2 linked regions of the Elephas maximus indicus genome follow. The protein of the gene in region 1 interacts with the protein of each later gene in a biochemical or structural test. Links are inferred from orthologs where the notes say so. Each region holds a gene or a part of one and is shown on either strand. Other genes may lie near its edges. The genes, in order: LRP1 and THBS1.

Evidence for each region.
Region 2: the proteins of LRP1 (region 1) and THBS1 form a complex in vitro, tested with the Homo sapiens proteins (3 studies listed by BioGRID). The link is inferred for Elephas maximus indicus from reciprocal best matches to the Homo sapiens genes LRP1 and THBS1.

Annotation. Positions count from the first base shown.
Region 1 is NC_064822.1:117,050,093-117,060,931, reverse strand, and holds the start of LRP1 (prolow-density lipoprotein receptor-related protein 1), read right to left. Parts: upstream 4,985-10,839; 5' UTR 4,587-4,984; coding exon 4,451-4,586; intron 1-4,450. UniProt on the Homo sapiens protein: Endocytic receptor involved in endocytosis and in phagocytosis of apoptotic cells. Required for early embryonic development. Involved in cellular lipid homeostasis.
Region 2 is NC_064828.1:16,526,472-16,536,466, forward strand, and holds the start of THBS1 (thrombospondin-1), read right to left. Parts: upstream 4,293-9,995; 5' UTR 4,116-4,292; intron 3,531-4,115; 5' UTR 3,502-3,530; coding exon 3,435-3,501; intron 3,160-3,434; coding exon 2,600-3,159; intron 1,594-2,599; coding exon 1,518-1,593; intron 1,268-1,517; coding exon 1,071-1,267; intron 958-1,070; coding exon 835-957; intron 1-834. UniProt on the Homo sapiens protein: Adhesive glycoprotein that mediates cell-to-cell and cell-to-matrix interactions.

The sequences.
Region 1 (10,839 bases):
CCTATGCTTGCCAGAGGTAAAAGCTCTAAGCTCTTGACTCATTCCCCACATCTTTCTCCATCTAGTTCTCAGGCTCCTGGTCATAAGGAAGTTCCTCTAGAAGTCTAACCTCCTTCCTTCTTTCTGAAAAAACCTCCCTCCCCCATTTAACTTAGCCCACAAAGGGTATCAAATTCCCTTCTTCCAGAAACATTCCCTCCTAAACCCATATCCAGAATCAGTATGGGGGCTGGGGGTGGGGGGAAAGGAACTTGGGAGGAAAGTAGAGAGGAAGCTTTCACTGCTGAACTTGATGCTCTGAGCTTGGCCTGGGAGAGGAAATATAACGCCAAAATGGAGAGGTAGGAGGTAGGGAGCAAGCGAGAAAGTCCAGATAAGACCCCAGTTCCTTGGTAGCTTTTGGGATACCAGGAGGCCTGAATGGAGGTAGCTAGAGACAGGCGGAGATGAATAAGGCAAGCAACAGAGACCAAGGGAGTCTGGGCACGTAGGATGAGCAATAAGAGAGATGAGCCAAGAGGGTGCGACAGAGAGGTTCTGAAAGGCAGAGACAACATAGCCAATGACAGGCAGACAGAGAGAGGCAAAAAAGCCAGGAAGGGGTCTCAGCCCAGAGGTTGCCAAGACGATAACACAGTTGTCCTGGGATGAATCCAGAGAGTGAAAACTCCCCTAAGACTCATATACCTAGCATATACCCCAGGCTGAGGAGGCAAAATCCCTGGCCTAGGAGTGCCTGACCCAGAGGAGACTCAGAATAGGTACCATAGGGGTGGGAGAGAGGGAGGAAGGGAGGAGGGCTGGAGCCCCTCGGCCTAGGAGGGACTCTCATCTCCCTGCAGAAGTCAGAGAGATGACTGCCCCCTCCATCTTTCTCAGGGTGGCCTTACACTGGGACCTGGGGCCACTGCTCCGGAAGCACTCCAGAGCCAACTGCTTCCTTCTCCAAACAATGCAGGATCCTGCTAACCCAGCTGAAATCTGGGACAGAACACGATGGGGGAGCAGGTTCCCTGAATGCTCATACCCGGTTGAGGATCTCTGCACAGCCCCACTCAACTCCACCCGAGGGTAGTGAGCCCCACATCCAGAGATGGAGAGTTTGAGGGTGTGCGAGAGGACCTTGAGAAGATAACACCGAAGGGGGATAAGCCCTAGGCCTGGGGGCTCTGAAGTGCAAAGGCTGACACTACAGCATGAGGGAAGAGAGTTAGACTTGAAGGAAGGGCTTCCCCAAGGTAAGGAAGGTGCTTTGAAGAATGGGGGATTTGGCTCTAGCCAGGGTCCTGGCTGACATCCTTAGGAGCCACAGTGATGGAGGAGTGGTTGAGGGCAAAAAAATATGGAGAAAATGGAGGGAGGAAGAGCAGGACTGGAAGAAAAGAAAAATTGTGGAGCAGTCTCAAACATCAAAATATCCCTTCAATCCCAAAATTAACAACCTATACATCCCTGCTTTGGAAAACGAGGCTGAAGGGGGATGTTCAAGGATTTGGGTCTGGTCAAGGGAAAAAGGGGCTTGGGACATCTCTCGGGGAGCCAGAAGGCTAACACCCTAGCCTCCAAACTCACTTCAACTGTACACCTTGCCTGATCACTGGTAATAAACCTGCTCAAGGGGGTTTTGGAGACAGGTAGGGAGAGAGGGTGGAAGCCGACCTTCTTCCCTATGTCTGGCTGCCTAAGCTCAGCTGGGCCCTCAATACTCTCTCTTCCCACTCCCCACCCCATCTCTTTCTCATCTTCTTCAGTAACAATTGCACTCAATTTTGTCTACTAGTGGGGAGTGGCATTGCTCCCCAGAGAGAAAGGGGTTCCAGGGGGTAGGTTCAGACCCAGAAGATAAGGCCAAAGCAAGGTGGGGAAGGCCTCCAGGACTGCTCCTATGGGGGGAAGGCAGCCAGACCTGTGACAGAAGGAGGAAGGAAGGTTAGACACTAGGTCAGGTAACCTGGGGTCAAGAGGTTTTCTTCTGTAGAAAGCAAAGGAGAAAGTTCAGTCTCTGTAGGCCTGAGGCATGAGGGCAGGAGTATGGATAAGGGGATCCTCTAGGCTACTCCTGGATAGAGTTGGACTGTGGTATAACCCACTGCTGTCAGTCGATTCCGACTCATAGCGACCCTACAGGACAGAGTAGAACTGCCCCATAGAGTTTCCAAGGAGCGCCTGGCGGATTCGAACTGCCGACCTCTGGGTTAGCAGCCATAGCACTTAACCATTACGCCACCAGGGTTTCCGACTGTGGTATGGTTCTGAGCAATTCTGAGATTCCCATCCCCCAGAGTGAGGTGGAACTGATTTTTCATATTTCCATTTCCAAGATGAGGCTATTAGTGGGTATCTGGGAAGAAGTCCTCTCCTAGGACTTTGGATAGAGTTCAGTCTGAGCAGGGAATACAGAGGGGGGCTGGGCAGGGACTTTAAGGAAGGGTAGGGTCGCTATGAGTTGGAATCGACTCGATGGCAGTGGGTTTTTTTTTTTTTAGGGAGACAGTAAGGAGAACATGTCCAGTCTCCCTCTTCTAATATCCACCAGCCAACTTGGTGTGACAAATATACCCGCTTTAGAGCCCTGTTGCTATGAGTTGGAATCGACTTGATGGCAACAGGTCTGGTTTTGGATTCAGAGCCCTGGGAGTGAAGCTACCTAGGGCCCTTCCTGGCTGGGCCAGGGACCTTTTTGTGCTTTCCACAGAGACTCCCTTGCTTCGGCCCAACTCCATCCACCCTCCGTAACAGGACTTCTGATGTGTCTGTCTCTCTTTCTTAAAAAAAAAAAAAAAAAATGTTTTTTCCACCCATTCCCAGACACTCCTGCACCCAAATCCCTTTACCTCAGTTTGTCCCTGTGGGGTGCCACAGGGCTGTGAACAAGAGAAAAGAACAGGCATGAAGGAGGGAGTCCTGAGTAGGGGCTGGCACTCGTCTGCAGGGTATTCAGGGCACAGCCTCTTCCCTTCTCTTGGGCACATAATTGAGGTAGATGGGGTGGGGGGGAGCAGACAGACAGTCCCCAAGATGGCATAATTGAGGGCCACTGAATATACCCTTCTTTCTTTGCACAGCTGCTTCCTGGCCCCAGGAACTGATGAAAATTGGGGGGAGGGGAGGAGAGGGAGAGATAATCTGGTTTTAGAGAAAAACTTTCCCAATCCCAACCTGGCAAAATTTAAAAGATGGAGGAGGGGGTGAGTGGGGGAAAGAAGGGCTGTTTCTAGTTACAGGCAGATACTGGGCCCAGTTTCATCCCTGGATGAGGGGGCTAAGATGCCAGGAAGGGATGTGAGTCCATCCTTTCTCAAATCAGGGGCCCAGCCCAGCCCCATGGTCCCAGCTGAAAGCTTGGGCAAGACTTGAACCAGTGACTCACAAGTAAGAGAAAAAAACAGCTGGCAGAAAAAGGGGAGGGGTAACTCCCTTTTCCCTAAGGAACACAGTTCTAGCTTAAGCCTAACTCTCTGTACTATACAAAGTGTGTGTGTATGGGAGGCAGAGAAGTAAATAAACACATTTACCAAAGGACAGGGAATTAGAGGGTGGGGGATAGCCGTAAACCCCACCCAATCTCCAACTCTCCTTCTAGTGCAAACTGTGATCAAGCAGAAGTCAGGAAGAAAGCAGCCTTGCAACACCCCCCCCCCCACCCCCCGCACTCCAGGCCATTCTCTAGTCCCCTTCCCCAATGATGACATCTGACTTTTTTTTTTTTTTCCATCTCAACGCTCCCAGGAATTATTAAAGAAAATTCAGTCACATAGCATCGCCTGCCCCCCCACTCCGCCCCCCAACACAGCCCTACCCAGGCTACTGACAGAGGCCCTGAGAGGGGGAAGTGCTGAATCCAGAACCCAGGAGGGTAGGTAGCCCGTTGGATCCTGGACCCAGGCCTCCATGCCTGGGCTCTGGGGCCCAGATTCCACACCCAAGCAGGGGGCCTTCCCCGTGGTCCTCCCTCTCCCCACCCACAGCTTTCCTGGGCCTGCTAGCCCTCTGCCCAGCAGGACGCCCCTGGCCCAGATCCCCGGTGAGCTTCAGAGGCCACTGCAGAAGGTCCCCCGCCCCCTTTTGCTGCCGTATATCGCAAATCCGAATTCCTTCACAATTCAAATGGGGGGGGGGTGTATGAAGGAGAGGTGGAGGCCCTCCCCGACCAGAGATAGAAAGAGAAGGCCTCTCGATCCCAGGATCAGAAAGGGGGAGCCCTCTTCTCCCTATCCAGGCCTATGGCCTTTGTCTGGCCTGGGGGGTCCTGGAAGCATCATTTGCCTAGGGCCCCCATCCCCCAAATCAGACCCCCATCGGTGTCCCCAGTGGGGCCGCTGCTGTGTCAGCTGGACTGGGATAACAAAAGGCACCCCCTCCCGCGTCTCCCTTCCCCATCCGTACGCAGGAACGGGGGCTGGGGAGGGGGTGTCCCCAGGGGTCCCGGGGGCCGCGGAATCTCACTCACCGTCGATAGCCGCCGTGACCAGAGCTGAGAGCAGGGGCAGCAGCAGCAGCCACGGCGGGGTCAGCATGGTGCGGGCTGATGTAGGCAGCAGCCCCCTCCCCTCCGGTCCTGCTACTTCTCGCCTTCGCCCCCCCATTTGGGGGGTCCCCCTTTTTCCTCCTTTCCCCCCCTCCTCTATTCTTATTCTTTCCTTCGGCCAAGCTCACCAGGGGTGTGGGTGAAGAGGCAGAGTTCGGAGCCCCTTAGAGAGGGCCTGCTGACGGGGGTGCGCCCAGTGCCCCCAAATCCAAACCCTTCACCCACTGCTTTTCTCCTCGCTCCTCTCTCCCCCTCCCCGGGCAAGCTCACAGCCCCATCTGAGAGCCGCCTCCGGCTGCAAAAATGCACAATTGGGAGGAGGCGGGGGTGGGGTGGGGGGCGTGGACCGGGTGGGGGAGCCTTTGGAAGGGGTCTGATGGAGCTCTGGGGGCTCCCCTCGTTTCCGCCTCCTCAGTGCACTGGCCGGGAGCTCGAACCGCTGTTCCCCGGCCTGAGGTGCAGCGGGGGGGGGCCAAGGGGGAGAGGGAGGGGACGTGGAGAAGAGGGAGGGAGGGAAGGGGCGGGGAAAGAAAAGGGGGGGGGAAGAGCTACGCGGCAATCCGGTTAGTGCGCATGCGCGGGTTTGGCGAGCTGCCCTGGGGTGGGGGCTCCATAGGAGCAGCAAGACTTGGAACTCTGAGAAGCGGACGGAGCGTAGGGGTCCCGGGGCCAGCTAGCCGGCTTGGGGTCCACAGCGCCCTCTCTCCTAACAGAGCGCGCCCCTGCGGAGAGCTGGACGGGCGGAGGGGGGATTGGGCAGTGGGCGAAGAGAACGGCTTGTCTTTGAAACTCGGTGTCGTGCCCTAGGATTTCAGGCTCCCTCTTGGGGGGTCCAATATCCCGTGGTCTGGGGCGAGGCCGGATTTCCTCGGGGAACCCGGCCTGTGCCTTCTCAGCTTGGGGTGGGGGTAGGGGTGGGGGTGGGGGCGGGGGTGGGGGCGGGGGTGGGGGTGGGGGTGGGTGTTGGGGCCTCCAATCCTCGGGGAAGGTACGGGGACAGACTGAGCTTTGATTTGGAGACTTTCTAAACCGGTGACTGGGATTGGGGCCTGCAGCGGAGGGGGCGGGGTGGGGGAGGGGCCGCCCCCACTCGCTCCCGGGTTTGGAGTAAACAGGGACACCCGCGGGGACACGCCAGAGCTTGTCCATTCACCTAGGGCTCCGGGATGGAGCCCACCTCAAGTCCCGCTCCGCCTTGCTTGCCTGGCACCGGGCGCCGGAGGGGCAGGCCCTGGTTTGGAGGGAGGTGAGTCACTAGCGGGTGGGGTTGAGGAAGGGCCACCCCCCCTTGCCCCAAGATATGGGGGCTCGTTTATTTTTTTGTTTTTATACCTTTGGGCTGGGTTCTCACCAAATCGGGGTTTTAGATTCTGAGCAGCAGAGATTTGGAGTAAGATGAAGAACTCTGGACCTCCAATTCCAGGCCTCGGGGTGCCTGCTGAGGGCTGGACCTTTGTCCCGGCCCTGATCCCTTACGGGAATGCTACTTTGAGTCCAGAAGGCGCCAGGCGGTTCCCAGAGCCCGGCGAATGTGCTTCTGGCCACCGCCCCCTTCTGGGCGATGTTTAAAGCTGTGGTGTCTGACTTTCTGGGTGTCTGGAAGTCAGGGTTCAGGGACCTAGGGCAGGCGACTTGGACTGCCAGAAACTGACTTTAGAGATAAGGGACATTGGACCACCCATCTTCCTAAAATTCTAGTCAAGGAAGGGCCCCAAACCCCCACTCCAATCTGCCCCTGGCTGAAAAGTGAGCATCGTGGAGGACTTGGCTGTTAATGACAGTGGGAGGGAGTGAGAATCTCGACTTTTCCCCCAAGCCTGTGCTGCTTCTGGGCTTGCTTGGCTCGGCCATCCTCACCCGTCTTTAGTCACCTAGGCTAGAAGCCTCAAAATTATTGCCAACTTCTCAGGGCCTTTCTTACATCCAATTGTGCAAGCCTATGTTCAAGGCCTGTCATTTTTCCCTTTGAAATCTATCTATGATTTCCTCCATTTCCACTTCCAGACAAAGTTTTTCTGGGTAGAGGTGGGGTCTTACCTATCCTTTTATCCAGCCCTCATGGCCCAGCGCTGTGCCAGGCACACGGCAGGGACTAACTAAATGTTATTAATGAATACCTGCTAGGTTCCTTCCTCTGCCAGGGCCCCTACCAATATTGTCATCCAAGTGAAATTAGGTTAAAATAGGCTTCAGGCAGCTTTGAAAGTAAAAAGATACCTGGAGTGACCATAGGTAGCCCCAGGGGGCTGTGAGAGGGCAGTCTCATTCCCCCTCCCCTCTGTCAGTCTTCCTAAAATTCTGCTTTCCTGTCTCTCTTCCTTGTTGGTAAACTTCTGCTGGGTATCTGTAGACAACTAAACCAAATGTGAACTTTTCTCCCAGACAGTCATGGTGTAAAACCTGGCCTTGGCCAGCCTGTAAGACTTTTCACTTTTTACCTCCCAACGTACCCCAACTGCCATCTCCTGAATGTGAATGTGTATTCATTTTTATGAACTTTATGTTGTGAAAAAGAATGCATGCTTCACTATTCACAAAAGGTGAATGTCCATCCAGAGATAGATGAATGAATAAACAAAATGTGCTGTATATATATACAATGGAATACTACTCAGCTATAAAGGAAAATAAAATCTTGACACATATTACAACTTGGATGAACTTTGAAAATGTACTGAGTGAAATATATCAGTCACAGAAGGACAAATATTGTATGGTCCCACTTATATGAAGCAGGCAAATATATAGAGACCAAAGTTTGTTGGTGGTTACCAGGGGTGGGAGTAAAGATTGGAGGTGGATCCATTTCTTAGGGGACACTGAGTTTCTGTTCATGGCAGTGGAGTAATTTGGAAAAGGATAGTGGTGATGGTCATACAGCATAATGAACAAAATCAATGTCACTGAATTGTACATGTAAAAATTGTTGAATTGCCAAATGTTTTGTTATATATTTTTTTACCACAATTTAAAGATATAATACATGCTTAGTGGTTAGAACAACCCAGAGCATAGAAGGGTACAAGGTGAAGAGTAAACTTGCTGCTTTCCACATTACCATTCTTGAGCCCCACCCTCAGAGTAACCACTACTAACAGTTCCCTGGGTATCCTTCCAGGAGTTTTTAAATATATATATAAATGAATATCCTTAAAATAATACAAATGAATTCATACAATATATACTGTTCTGTAACTTGCTTTTTCAACAAACTTATCTTGGTCCCTTTACACATAGTATGTATATGTCTTTCATACTATTTATATCTGCTATTTGGAATCTGGAAACCCTGGTTGCATAGTGGTTAAAATGCTATGGCTGCTAACCTAAAGGTCGGCAGTTCAAATCCTCCAGGTGCTCCTTGGAAACTCTATGGGGCAGTTCTACTCTCTCCTGTAGGGTCACTATGAGTTAGAATCGACTTGATGGCAATGAGTTTGTTTTTTTTTTTTTTTAATTTGGAATCTGCTTACTTGGGTACCCCAATCTATTGAGATTGGTTGGCATTTGGGTAATTTCCAGTATGTGAAGTGCTGAGGTGTCTCTGTGAGATGAGAGAATGCATATTTCTACCTGAGCCTTTAATTATACTGTTTCCCCAGCTTCCCCTCAGAAAAGCTCTCTTGTTATTCTCGCTCTGCCCATCTATTGTTTTTCAAACTTGCTCTCAAGATAGCCTGAGTACTCAGAGTTTAGCACTTAATTATGTGTGTCCTATATCCACCACCAAAGTATAAACTTCTCGAGGACAGGGACCATGTCTTTACTTCTTGGTATCCACTCAGTGTTAGGAGTTCTTGACTGATCCGTGGGGAGCCTGTCAAGAGTGTTAGAACTAGGGGCACCTGCCCTGGTAGAGGAGACAGCCATTAATAACTATTGTCGAATAGGGTATGACTGGAAACCCTGGTGGTGTAGTGGTTAAGTGCTACGGCTGCTAACCAAGAGGTCGGCAGTTTGAATCCACCAGGTGCTTCTTGGAAACTCTATGGGGCAGTTCTACTCTGTCCTATAGGGTCACCGTGAGTCAGAATCGACTCGACGGCAGTGGGTGGTGGGTAGGGTATGACTGTAAGCATTTTGCTTCCTCATGTTTTCCTATAGCACTCATCTTTCAATTCCTCTCTGCCTTAGTTTCTTCTCTTTCTCCCCACTTCTATTCTTAAGAAACTTTTCCTTTTATCTTCAAACCCTTGGGTTAGATTATACAGAAAATAATGGGATATCAGGGAAGAATTCTCTGCAATCCATAATCAGGATACCTAGAATGGTGGCAGTGGGCAAAGAAGTTGATGTGGGAAGAGGATATCTCCTTTTTTTTGGATCCTTCAGCAAATTTTTCAGCAAATTATTAAACATCCCCCTTTCTTCATTGAGGAAACCCTGGGTTGGTAGTAGTTAAGAGCTTGGCTGCTAAGCAAAAGGTCAGCAGTTCAAATTCACTAGCTGCTCCTTGGAACCTTATGGGGCAGTTCTACTCTGCCCTGGAGGGTCGCTGTGAGTTGGAATCCACTGGATGGCAATGGGCTTGGTTTTTTTTTTGTTGTTGTTTTTTTCTTCTTCATTGAGTGTAACATTGCCTGGGATGGGGCATTAATAGGGCAGCTCTGGGAGTGTCAGGCCAGACTGTCACCACCTAGTGGTCAGTTAGAGAAGTGTGATTAGGAAGGCGTATCTCTGAAGGATCTGGTAGAAGGTGGGGAGAGAAAAGAGAATGAAGATTTATTGAATGGTTACCATGTGCCAGGCCCATATAATAGATTTTACATGGAAACCCTGGTGGCATAGTGGTTAAGAGCTATGGCTGCTAACCGAAAGGTCGGCAGTTCGAATCCACCAGACGCTCCTTGGAAACTCTGTGAGGCAGTTCTACTCTGTCCTACGGGGTCGCTATGAGTAGGAAGCGACTCAGCAGCAATAGGTTAGTATGGGTGAGTTAGCTCACTGAAGTCTCAAAGCCACCTTGTGACATAGGTGTTATTTCCAGTTCGTAGATAAGGAAATAGAAGTTCAGAGAGATTAAGGAATCTGCCCCAAATCACAGTGCAGATTTGAGCCCAGGTTTCATTCATTTAAGAAACATTTATTAGGTACCCCGGATGTGCCAGGAGGCACTAGGGATATGAGATGGAAACACAGTCTCAGCCTTCAAGAAGCTTACAGGATAGTGGGGTTGCTCTATAAAAAAAGGTGATTGACAATTACACTAAGTGCCCTAATGTCTATGTTAAAGGCATGCATGAGACCCATGGGAATCAGGGAAGCACACCTATTCCAGATAAGGGGATCAGGGCAGAGCATGGCAGATGATGCCGGGGTAAAGGTTGAAAGGGAGGAAGGAAATAAAAAAGGAGGAAGGAAACAGCAAGTGAAAACAGAAGGAAAGGGTGTTTTAAGCAGGAGGGCAGGCAAAGATACGGAAGCATGAGGAAGCTTAAAACATTTGAGGAACTGCAAATATGGTATGGCTGAAGTTTAACATACTTATTGGAGAGGATGATGGATGAAGTGTCAGGGACCCTAATCACAAAGGGCCTTGTGTGCTAAACTAAGGACTTAACATTTTTTTCTAGAAGTAGTGGGGAGCCAGGTGAGAAATCGATGTCTTTAAAAATTCTTGCATCAGTGATAGAGTTGGAGAGGAAGAGAAGGATTCTATAGACACTAAGGAGGGTAGGATCAGGTATACCATTTGGTTTTTCATTTGTGCCTAGAGCGGAGTGACAGAGAAAGGTTTAAAACTTTGGCTCACATTAGAATGTTCTCAGAGTTCTCAAACTTTGGCTGCACCTTAGAGTCACCTGGGGAGCTTTTAAAAATCCCAGTGCTTGATTAGGTAGTAGATAAGAACTACTTTAGGTGAAGGGAAGGATAATACTCAATACACAGAAGGTCGGCTCAACTGGACTGGACCAAAAGCAAAGAAGTTTCCGGGATAAACTGAATGCTTTGAAGGTCAGCAGAACAAGGGCGGGGGTTTGGGGACTATGGCTTAAGGGGACTTCTAAGTCAATTGGCAAAATAATACTATTATGAAAACATTCTGCATCCCACTTTGAAGTGTGGCATCTGGGGTCTTAAATGCTAACAAGCGGCCATCTAAGATGCATCAATTGGTCTCAACCCACCTGGATCAAAGGAGAATGAAGAACACCAAGGTCACACGATAACTATGAGCCCAAGAGACAGAAAGGGCCACATGAACTAGAGACTTACATTATCCTGAGACCAGAAGAACTAGATGGTGTCCGGCCACAACCGATGACTGCCCTGACAGGGAACACAACAGAGAACCCCTGAGGGAGCAGGAG
Region 2 (9,995 bases), on another chromosome or scaffold:
GGGCTGGCCACTTGTCACTCCATTCTGTGGGGAGTTCTCTCTTAACTGCTACTCAGAGTTGGACGTTGCAGCGTGAGGAATTTATTTAAGGGGAACCTTCAAACATCCTGGGTCAAATCTATTGAACTCTTCAAATTCATCTGGGACTTTATTTGAGGGGGAAAATAAAACCGATTAGCAGTGCTTTCCTCATCTGTAGATCTGGCTTTAAATTATATTGGAGAGGAATGGGAACTTAATGAAGTTTGCAAGCAAATCAAGCAATCTGTGATTTGTATTTAAGGTATACGTGGCTCTCTGAGCCAGGTAAACCCCCAAAGTCACTTGCCACCGGCTGGGGAGACAGCTAGAGAAACACAGGCGGTGCCATTTGAGCTAAGTAGCCAGTTATGACCTGACAATGTCGGGCTAAGTGATCTGAACAGCAATCAGTACTGTAGTAAAAGAACCATGTCACAGCTGAATACAAATCAGGACTGCAGGGCGGGGGCAGGGAAAAGAATGTTCCAACAAGGTTTTATTTACCTGACATTCAATACTTAGTGTCTGAACTAAAGCCAGTAAATTATTCAGATGTCTTAATAGATTTGTTCTCTTAGATACTCTGCCTAAGGTGTAATTAAGATTCTGAAAAACCTTCTAAGAGTTTAAAGAATTTAAAGATGTCACAACTACATCTTAAGGAAAAACCTAGAGAGGGGAAAAAAAAGCCCACTTTGGTATCAGGCCATTGAGCATGAAAAGAACTTGGATGGCCATTTGGGTATTTCCCTGGAGACTGTGGCTTCAAACACATACCACCAATTCTGGTTTTAGTTTATAAAGATCCCTCACCTGACAGCGACATTCGGTGCAGCTATCCACAGTCCATTCTTCGTTATTCCTGTACTGAACTCCGTTGTGATAGCAGAGAGGAGACCGCCTCAGCTCATTGGCCAATTCCTTGTTCTCTTCAGTCTAAAGGAGGGAGAAAGCTCATTAGTGCTTAACCTCATTTTAGGTCAGCTGGGAGCAGCAGTGGTAAACCTTCAAGGATTTATGCTGAGCAGCTGGGAACAGGGGCCACTGACCACTTTGCGGATGCTGTCCTGAAGCGTGGTGACGATGGTGCGCAGGCCCCTGAGTTCCAGGACCATGTTGGACAGCTCATCACAGGAGATGCCGCAGATGGCCTGCAGGTCCTTTGTTTTGTGGCCGATGTAGTTGGTGCGGATGGCAGGGCTGGAACCATTCACCACATTGTCGAGAGCAAGAAGGACGTTGCTAGCTGGCAAGAAACAAAAGGTAATAGAAGATCTTCAAACAGAAGCTCTCTCCAGCCAGTCCCTGGAGTTCTTCGCTGTAAAGGACACTTCCTTTGGGGCCAGGGGATGTGTGTGGAATACCCTTTGAGGTCACGTGTGTACATCTAGTAACTGTGTTACCCAGGGGGAATTCGTGCACAATCACCATTGTTTAAGTTTCTCAGGTTGTCTTGGTGGAATTCCCCAGTTTACTAAAAATAGAAGGGTACTCACAGCTGGAGCAGCCTTTGTTCCTGAGGATGTCTTCTGGTGTGGTTCCAAAGACAAACCTGACATTCTGCAGCACCCCCTGTGGACAGAGGACACACCTTACTTGTAAGTGTCGGGGGGAGGGAGGACCGCTGTCTCTATGCTAGGGAAAGCAAACCACGGACGCTCTAAAAGCTGAAAAGGGCTCCATTTTGAGACTACTCTGCCAAAACAACACGCCAATACAAATTGCCAAACTTCAACATCTGAATTGTGTCTTCTGCCAAGTCTTCAGTATTTTCCAAAGAATTCAGTTATCAGCCTACTTGGGTACACAGGACATGGACTCTGATACTAAGTCCAGTGGATAGAATGACACTCTCCAGTGTCGAAGAGTTAAATGTGGGAGTTTCAAAGCTACAGTTGCAAAGATCTAAAAGTTCAGGTGAGGAAGAAGCTGCAGCAGCACAAAACCGAATCTTCGAGTTAACCTTTTATTTGGGACCTGCTGCATCCCCTTGGAAAACCCTGGTGGCGTAGTGGTTAAGTGCTATGGCTGCTAACCAAACGGTCGGCAGTTCAGATCCGCCAGGCGCTCCTTGGAAGCTCTAATGGGCAGTCCTACTCTGTCCTATGGGGTCGCTATGAGTCGTAATCGACTCGACGGCACTGGGTTTTTGCATCCCCCTGAGGAATCAAATTGCCAAGTATTTATTCTGTGCATACAAAATAGCCACTTGAAACAATAGTAAAGTTGCTGGAATGCATTTGAACTAAGGAGTATTTAAGGCTTTAATAGGCTGAGAGTTGTTGAAGAGCCATTTCTTGTTTCCTTTAGCGGTTTTCCACGTGTCCCCAGGCTGCCAACATCCATACCAGCATCACCTGGAACTTACTAGAACTGTACATTCCCAGGCCCCACTGCAGACCTACTGACTCAAAAACTGTAACAAGCCCTCCAGGTGATTGTGATGCTCCCTAAAGTTTGAGAACCACTGCTGTCATCTACAGACAATATTTCCCGTACCGAACCTCCTGCTCCAGCAGCCAGGTCACCTGGCTAGCAGATGACCCCAGGGGCTAGGGACTTAAAGAGGAGGCCTCACCTGGAAATTGTCATTGACGCCTCCCTTTGCAATGCGGAGCCTGGCGATGCTGGCCAGGTCCCTGGTGAAGATGCTTTGGATGGGGACCTCTAGCTCAGCGTTCTCCATCTTCTCACAGTCGATGTACAGCTGGGCCCTGTCCTCCTGCACGAACAGGGTGATGCTCTTCCATTGGCCGGTTGCCAGGAGCACGTCTTCCACTGACACCACATGCTGCTTCCCCTGCACAGTCAGGCTCAGGTCCAGGGTGCCCGCCTTGCCATTGGAGACCACGCTGAAGACCTGGCCAGAGTGGTCTTTCCGCTCGAGGGCCAGCAGCGTGCCCCGCGTCTTCTTCATCTGCCGCAGAGAGGCCAGGAGGAGGAACCCCTTCTCTGCCCGCACAGCATCTACTAGGTCCTGGAACTTGTCATCGGGCACAGGGGGGATCAGATTGGCATCCTCAATGCGGAAAGCTGAGCTGGAGGGGTCAGGGCCCCTCACCAGCCGGCGCCCAGAGCCCTTGCGGGAGCCTCCGGTGAGTTCAAAGATGTCAAACACGCTGTTATCTCCCCCAGACTCTGTGAGATAGGAGGAGGATACACAGTGAGTTTTCTTGGCTGAAACAGGCGCCAGGGGTGGCGGGCTCAGCTCTGAGGGTATGGCCATAGGTGCAGAGTAAAAACTCCTGGCAACCACTGAGACAGCCAAATGAACAGCAGGACAGGAAGCTTTGGGGAAAACAACTGCAGAGGAGAGCATGGGGGCATCCCGAAGTATTCAAGCTTAGTCCAGACACCTGTGTACCCAGCACCACCTCCTCTTCCCCCTCCCCCTAGAGTTATCACAGACTCACCTGGAATGCGGTTGGTGCCACACACTTGCAGGAGGAGCAGGACACCAAGTCCCCAGGCCAGCCCCATGGTGGAGCTGTTGGTGCCCAGCAGGGAGCCTGCAGCAGGAAGCACAGAGCCAGGGTCAGAGACGCAGCAGGGAGTGTGGGCAATGCCTGGGGCCTGGGCTTGGGGCCAAGGAACCTGGGGATCCCTCTCTGGCCCCACTTCGCTGGGATGAGGCACTACAGAATTTAGTGTTCAGAGGGAATTGGGCAGAAATTGGGAGAGATGGGGGAGGGGATGTGGTTCTAAAAGTATGGGGACAATGACCAACCATGTGGGGGCTTTTTCTTGGGAAGTCGAGACGGAAAAGAAAGGCCAGCAGATGTAGTTTGGGGGAGCCCCGAGGGCACCGGAAAGGCAGTCTCCCACAGAGACGACTGAAAGGTTTGGAGAGCGCTTGGAGAAGGGAAGGAAATCTTGGGGCGTCCTGCGGGAGTTGGGGTGTGAACCCCAAGGCTGGAAAGGGTGGCTCTGGAGTTCATCCCTAAAAGACCTCCCCAGAGGCTGGGAGGGAGAGGATGGGAAAGGCGAAGACAGAGAGAGAGAATGAGATCCGAGGGTCCCCTGAGGGGCTGTCCGAAGCCTCAGGTTGAAGAACTGGTCCTCGGCGACCGTCCGGGGCCGCGGGGTGCGCTTACCTGTGTGGACGCGGCTGCAGCGGCCGGGAGTGGCGGCGCACCAAGAGGCTTGGACAGACAGACGCTGGGACGGGAGCAGCGCCCGGGGAAGCTGAAGCAGAAGTAGGAGGCTGTGCCGAGGGAGCTCGCAAGAGCCCTGAACTCACCGCCCGGCTGGGATGCAGTGGCTGCCGAGACGGCGGAGCCGCGCGCTTTTATAAAGGGTCGCTCACATTCCTGGGGATTCCTCTGGCCAATGGGCGGCGGCCGGGCAGGAAACGGAGGGGGGCCAGTCTGGGTTCCTCTCTCCGCCCCCCGCTGCCTGGCGCGCAACTTTCCAGCTCAGAAGAGAGGGAGGCGGGGGTCGGGAGCAGGGGTGCACTGCGACTTCTCAGGCGCTTGTGCCCGCCCACGCGGCCGGGCGCGCACCGGTCAGCAAGACGGCTCTTGCGCCACGCGGGCCCCCTTCCTTAAGTGGGAATATTCTGAGCAATGACGGGGCTTTGGCGACCCACCCAGGACGCTTAGGGAGCTTTCAGGCAAATCCGCCTCCTGGAATGTGTGGGCGAAGGCTGGGGGGTGTGGACTCTTGGAGACGGAGCCCGTTTGTAAAATAGGGAACCTGACGGTAAATGGGACCAAGAGACAACCAGTCATTAAAGAAAGTGTCTCTTGGGTATTTGTCGACCCATCCAGGTGGGGTGGGGAGACCCCACGCCTGGGGCTGACGGGCAGAGAGCTTCGCGCCGCGCTCCTGCCCTTCTCCGACCCACTAAGGGAGGTGATGTTGCGTTAGGACGGCAGGGGCGGCCTACCTAGTTGGCATTCACACTGCCCCTAGGCGCACACGTTCCCGCAGCGGCGGCGGGAGTCCCTGCGAAACTCTGGCCTCTGAATTGCTGCGGCGGTTCCACAGCTTGCCGCTTGGGGGCGGTATGCGAATTCTGATCGCAGGAACCCAAGAGGATTGTGTCTTTCTAGCCAGGAATTTTAAGGAAACGTATTCGTATCCAGTTCCCTCAAGCCAAAAGTGAAATTATGTCTTGAAAAACAGTTTTTGTGCCCACTCGTGCTTCTTAACGTGACTCCTGGTTGGAGAATTTGCAGAACCATCTGGCCCCAGAGTCTTAAACTATTTACAGAACAGACCCAACGAGTAATAAATTACCCTCCCTGTCTATCATTTTATTTCCCCCTTTCCTCGCTAAACGTTCTTTTCATTTTTCGGCTCCCGAAACCGAAGTGTGGGTTACATTTCTGTGGGTGCACACAGTGCCATGAGAGCTGTTGCCTAATGTTTCTGTCATTGGAAGTCTGGTCTCCAAGCCACTGTCCCAGCCAGCGTGATGACTGGAGCTGCCTGGAATTCCATTCATCTCTTCGGGCTGGGACGTCAGCAGCCACCGTTTCCCTTGCTGTGGTCCAGCGCTATCAGGCCGCCCGCCCGGAGACACAGGGCGCAGGTAGTGGCTTTACCAAATAAGGATCTCAGCCTCAGGCCGGCATAACCCCTTGGGTCCACCTCCCTTTCTTAGTACTTACACTTGGCAGAACTCATAGCTGCTGGAAACACCCATGAGTTTACATTCATCAAACAGCAATTTCACTTTTCTGGCGTGGGGGTGTTGTGTGACAAGGTGCATGTGTGTGCGGGGACAAAAGAGTGCGTGTTTTCCGGTTACTCCAGTACCTCTAGAAGATGACAAGTGTGTTCCTAAGACACGTTTGTTGCTTAATAACTGAACTTGACAGCCAGAGAGATTTCAGATGTTGAGAGGCAGAAATGAAAGTTTCTGTCAGATAAGTAGTCAAATCAGATTCCTGTCCTGGAAGTCAGAGGTAATGATTCATCTGAGCCCCTCTGAAGATTTCAGGGTCAGCAGCCACCCGTGTAACTTCCCCCTTGTTGCTACTTCCCCAGCTTCCGGTTTGCTCCTTGAAAGATGGTTTATTTTTTCTTACTTGCTGTTCTTCATGACACCTGGTACACAGGAACAGTTCTTGGAGGAATGGCCAGCTGATGGCCTACAGACGTCTCTGGCCCATTTGATAATTTATACAGATGAGATGAGGGCTTCTAGGTCTACAAGAAGGCCACAAAGACAGGAAGCACCTTTCCTTAAAAGATGACCTCCACTCAACGTAACTGAACGGGTAGAGTAGAAACAAACATTTGTGACTAAGGGATTGTAGGAACGTGTCTGGAGTTTTCCTGGAATTTGGCTTCTTTCAACAAAACAAGAATAAGTTTAACCTTCTACATGCTTTACAAATAGAAAGGTGACGGAGATACTGGCAGGGAGGGGCTGTCTTTTCAGAGAAAGCCGACAGAGGTATAGCCAGTTGCTGTCAAGTAAACTCTGACTAACGGTGATCCCACGCGTGTCAGACAGAGCTGTGCTCCATGGCGTTTTTTGGGAAGGAGATCACCAGGATTTTCTTCTGACGTGCTGCTGGGTAAACTTGACCTGCCTGCCTTTTGGTTAGCAGACAAGCCTGTTAACTGCTTGCCTGACCCAAGGACCTGACAGAGGCATAGGAGTTATTTATCTCAAACACAAAGGCCTTCCCCAACGCATGGTTTTCCAGTTGTTCTGGTGGAAAGGAAGACTTCTAGTGGAAAGGAGTAGGGGAGAGTTTGGGCAGCTTTTAGGAGCTCACCCACATTCCTGCTGGTCAATGTGGGCTACGAATATTTGACAGACGCCTCAAATCCCTCTGGGAAGCTTTGGAAGGTGTAGGAATGGAAAGATGGGAATGGGAAAGAAAGTCTACCTACTTTAATGTGGGGGGTATCATCCCTTGTGTGTGTGTGTGTGCGCGAGCATGCACGTGTATCCTCGACTTAGAAATGCTAGGATTTCAGGCCAATAAGCTGATATGAACCTAAGTTGTCATTCTTGAAGATCACTTACTGACCTGAGGATTACTTAAAATAAAATTGTAAGCCATATGATACTTTTGCTGTAGGATTTTCTTCTTCCATGTTCCCCTAATTGGAGGTGGGAGTGCCCTAAATATATTGCCAGTAAATGGGAAGAAAAACTGTAAGTAGTAGTTAGTTTAAGAATTGTATGTGATTAAGAATAGCAAGATAACTGAGAAAAAAAATTATTTATTTATCAAAAAACATCAAAGAGGGCTGTGATTTTGTGTAGGTATTTAAAAAATTGCTTGACATGCTCAGCACTGGAAAACTTCTTAGAGGTGAGCAGCAAAAAATCTCTACAATTATATGCTGGAATAGTCCAAAATCATAGCATCTGCAGAATACAGACATCATAAATTCATCTTCTCTGGATATTTTCCCTAGATCACGGAACAAAGTGGTTTTAGTTCAGCTACCTCAATGTTCAGAGCCAGAGGAAACTGCCCATAAATATTTCTCATCCTTCAATCAAACACAGACTCAAGCTCCCCTCCACCAGAAGATGTTCTCCATGGGTTTACGTTACATTGTCTCTTCTTTCTTTGAAACTGTGAAGCATGTCTTATCTCTACCACGTAACTCATCATCTGACACTCTGGTTTTCAAAAATTTTAAATCAATTTTTGTTTTCTTGTGTGTAAGTACCAGATTGTAAGTACTCAAAGGCTTAGATTTGGGAAGAAGCCTTTTATGCTCCAGTCAATTTATAGCATAGAAGGACTGACCAGCTGTATACCATTTCATGCAGTTATGACTTAGCTCTTGGGATGGTCGTTGTGACTGACTCCCCTCCCCACAGAATTGAAGCAATACTCTTGGGGAATTGACCTCAGTAGGAGAGGGTAGAACTATTGGTTTAAGGGTAACCTCCGCCTCCATCACTGATTGGCTTGGCAATTGACATGTGACCAGATTTTGGCCAACGAGAGGTTTGTTGAAGGCTTCTGGGAAAAGTTCTTCCTTGCTTTTAAGAAAAACAAAAAAAAGCCTGTAAAACCAAACCCATTGCCATCAGTGGATTTAGAATTACAGCCACCCTATAGGACAGGGTAGAACTGCCCCATAGGGTTTCTAAGGCTGTAATCTTTATAGAAGCAGTCTGCCATATCTTTCTCCCGCAGAGCAGCTGGTGGGTTTGAACTCAACCTTTCAGTTAGCAGCTGAATCCTTTAACCACCATACCACCAGACTCCTTGCTCTTAAGAAAGACCAATGTGAGATCAGGCTTTCTCTGTCTCCATTTGGGCACAAACAAGAATGCCCATATGCTCTGTTTGGTGCTCTTGGCCACAAGGGGAGCCGAACTTAGCATGAAACCAATGCTGTAGAAGTAAGAGCAAAAGGATGGAAACAATCTTTAATTTAGATCACATTTTTGAGGTGCTGACTATACCAACCCTAAAGGCCATCCTACCTCCAGATTTCCTTGGACATATGCCTATTATTTAAGCCTTTTTTTTTTTTTTTTTTAATTACTTAGAGCCACAAACATAGCTGGTACAACTTTTTCCCTTCTTTGGGTTTTCCTTTTCACTCACACCCCTGGCCCTCCATCTCACTCCTTTTTCTGGCCAACCACCAGTTTCAAGGTCTCCATCTTTCAAAGTCCAACTCAAATATTGTCACTCTGAGTAGCTTGCTCTGACAGCTTGTCTCAGCACTCGCACACACGCACACATTCATACATCAGGTACATTTATGGCCCCTCCCTCACCTTTGTTACCATAGCATTTTACATAGAACTATTTTAGCATTCATTGCCTATGTTTTTAATTGTTTATTGGTCAGTTTTTGTGTCTGGGCAGATTGTTTGCTTTGTAATCTCTGCTTCATCAGCTGTTGTTGAATAAATGGATAAATTGATGGGTGGGCAGTTTTAGTGCTTGTCTAGTTCATGCATTTTATTGATGACGAAACCTATTTCTTTTAATTTTTCTTTAGCACCTTGAAGAGCACTGAGCGCCTGGTTATCCCACAGTAGTACAACAGAAGAGGAGAATGTAACTTAGTTCTGTAACTTTTTGTTTTCTTATTGAGGTTCTAGAGGTGTCACTGTCTTTATTTTCCAAAGGATGTGGAGCAATAACAATATATTTGGAAATAGTAAAGAATTTCCTGAAAGTGAAGGTTATAACAGATTGGAATGTTGCTGAAATAGGTTGTGAAATATTTTATGGATATCTTCACAAATAATATGGATTATGCAGTTAATCTGGAATCTGGGCTAGGTTTCATCTCAGAGATACGAAGATTCCACAGTGATACATGGAGCAACTTCCAGAGCCCTGTTCACTAAAAGAGTCTATGAATCTGCAAATGTATGAAACAATGGAGTTTCCAGAACTTGCAAGAGAGAGTTTGCTTCTGACACTGATTAAACACAATTTTCCTAAAGAATTTAACTTTTCTGAGGCTTAACATGCTACTTCAAGCCACCCATTTAGAAATGATAATTTTTCTAAACAGCCTTCACAAGTGCAATCTATTTCCGACTTTTCTGTTATTTTTTTTTTTCTCTTAGAAGAAAATTACTAGTGTCAGTTAAAATAATAAGACAATAAATGTAAAGAAAAATCCTAGTATGGCTGGGAAGTGTTGGGGTGGTGTGAAAAGATTTGAAGATTGAAAATGACATGGAGATTGGCATCCACTTTAAGTTGGAATGAAAGACCCACATGCCGTGGGCAATGTGGACAGTGACCAAATGGCTGGGTTGCTGGGCATTTGTTTTAAGTGACTTCAATCTCTTGGGAGGTTACTTTTTCTACTGTTGTTTTTTAAATAGTGAGATCGTGACAACTTGTGTTTTGTAGAACTCAGCCAAAAGAATTGTCACTCTTTCTAATTTAAGAAGATGAGTGTAAGGTCAGAAAAAAGCTTTTAGTCTTATTATAACACACAACATAAGCACTTCTGCTTCCCTGGGAAGAGATGTAACAGAGGGAACCTTTTCTTTCTCATTTCATCTTTCT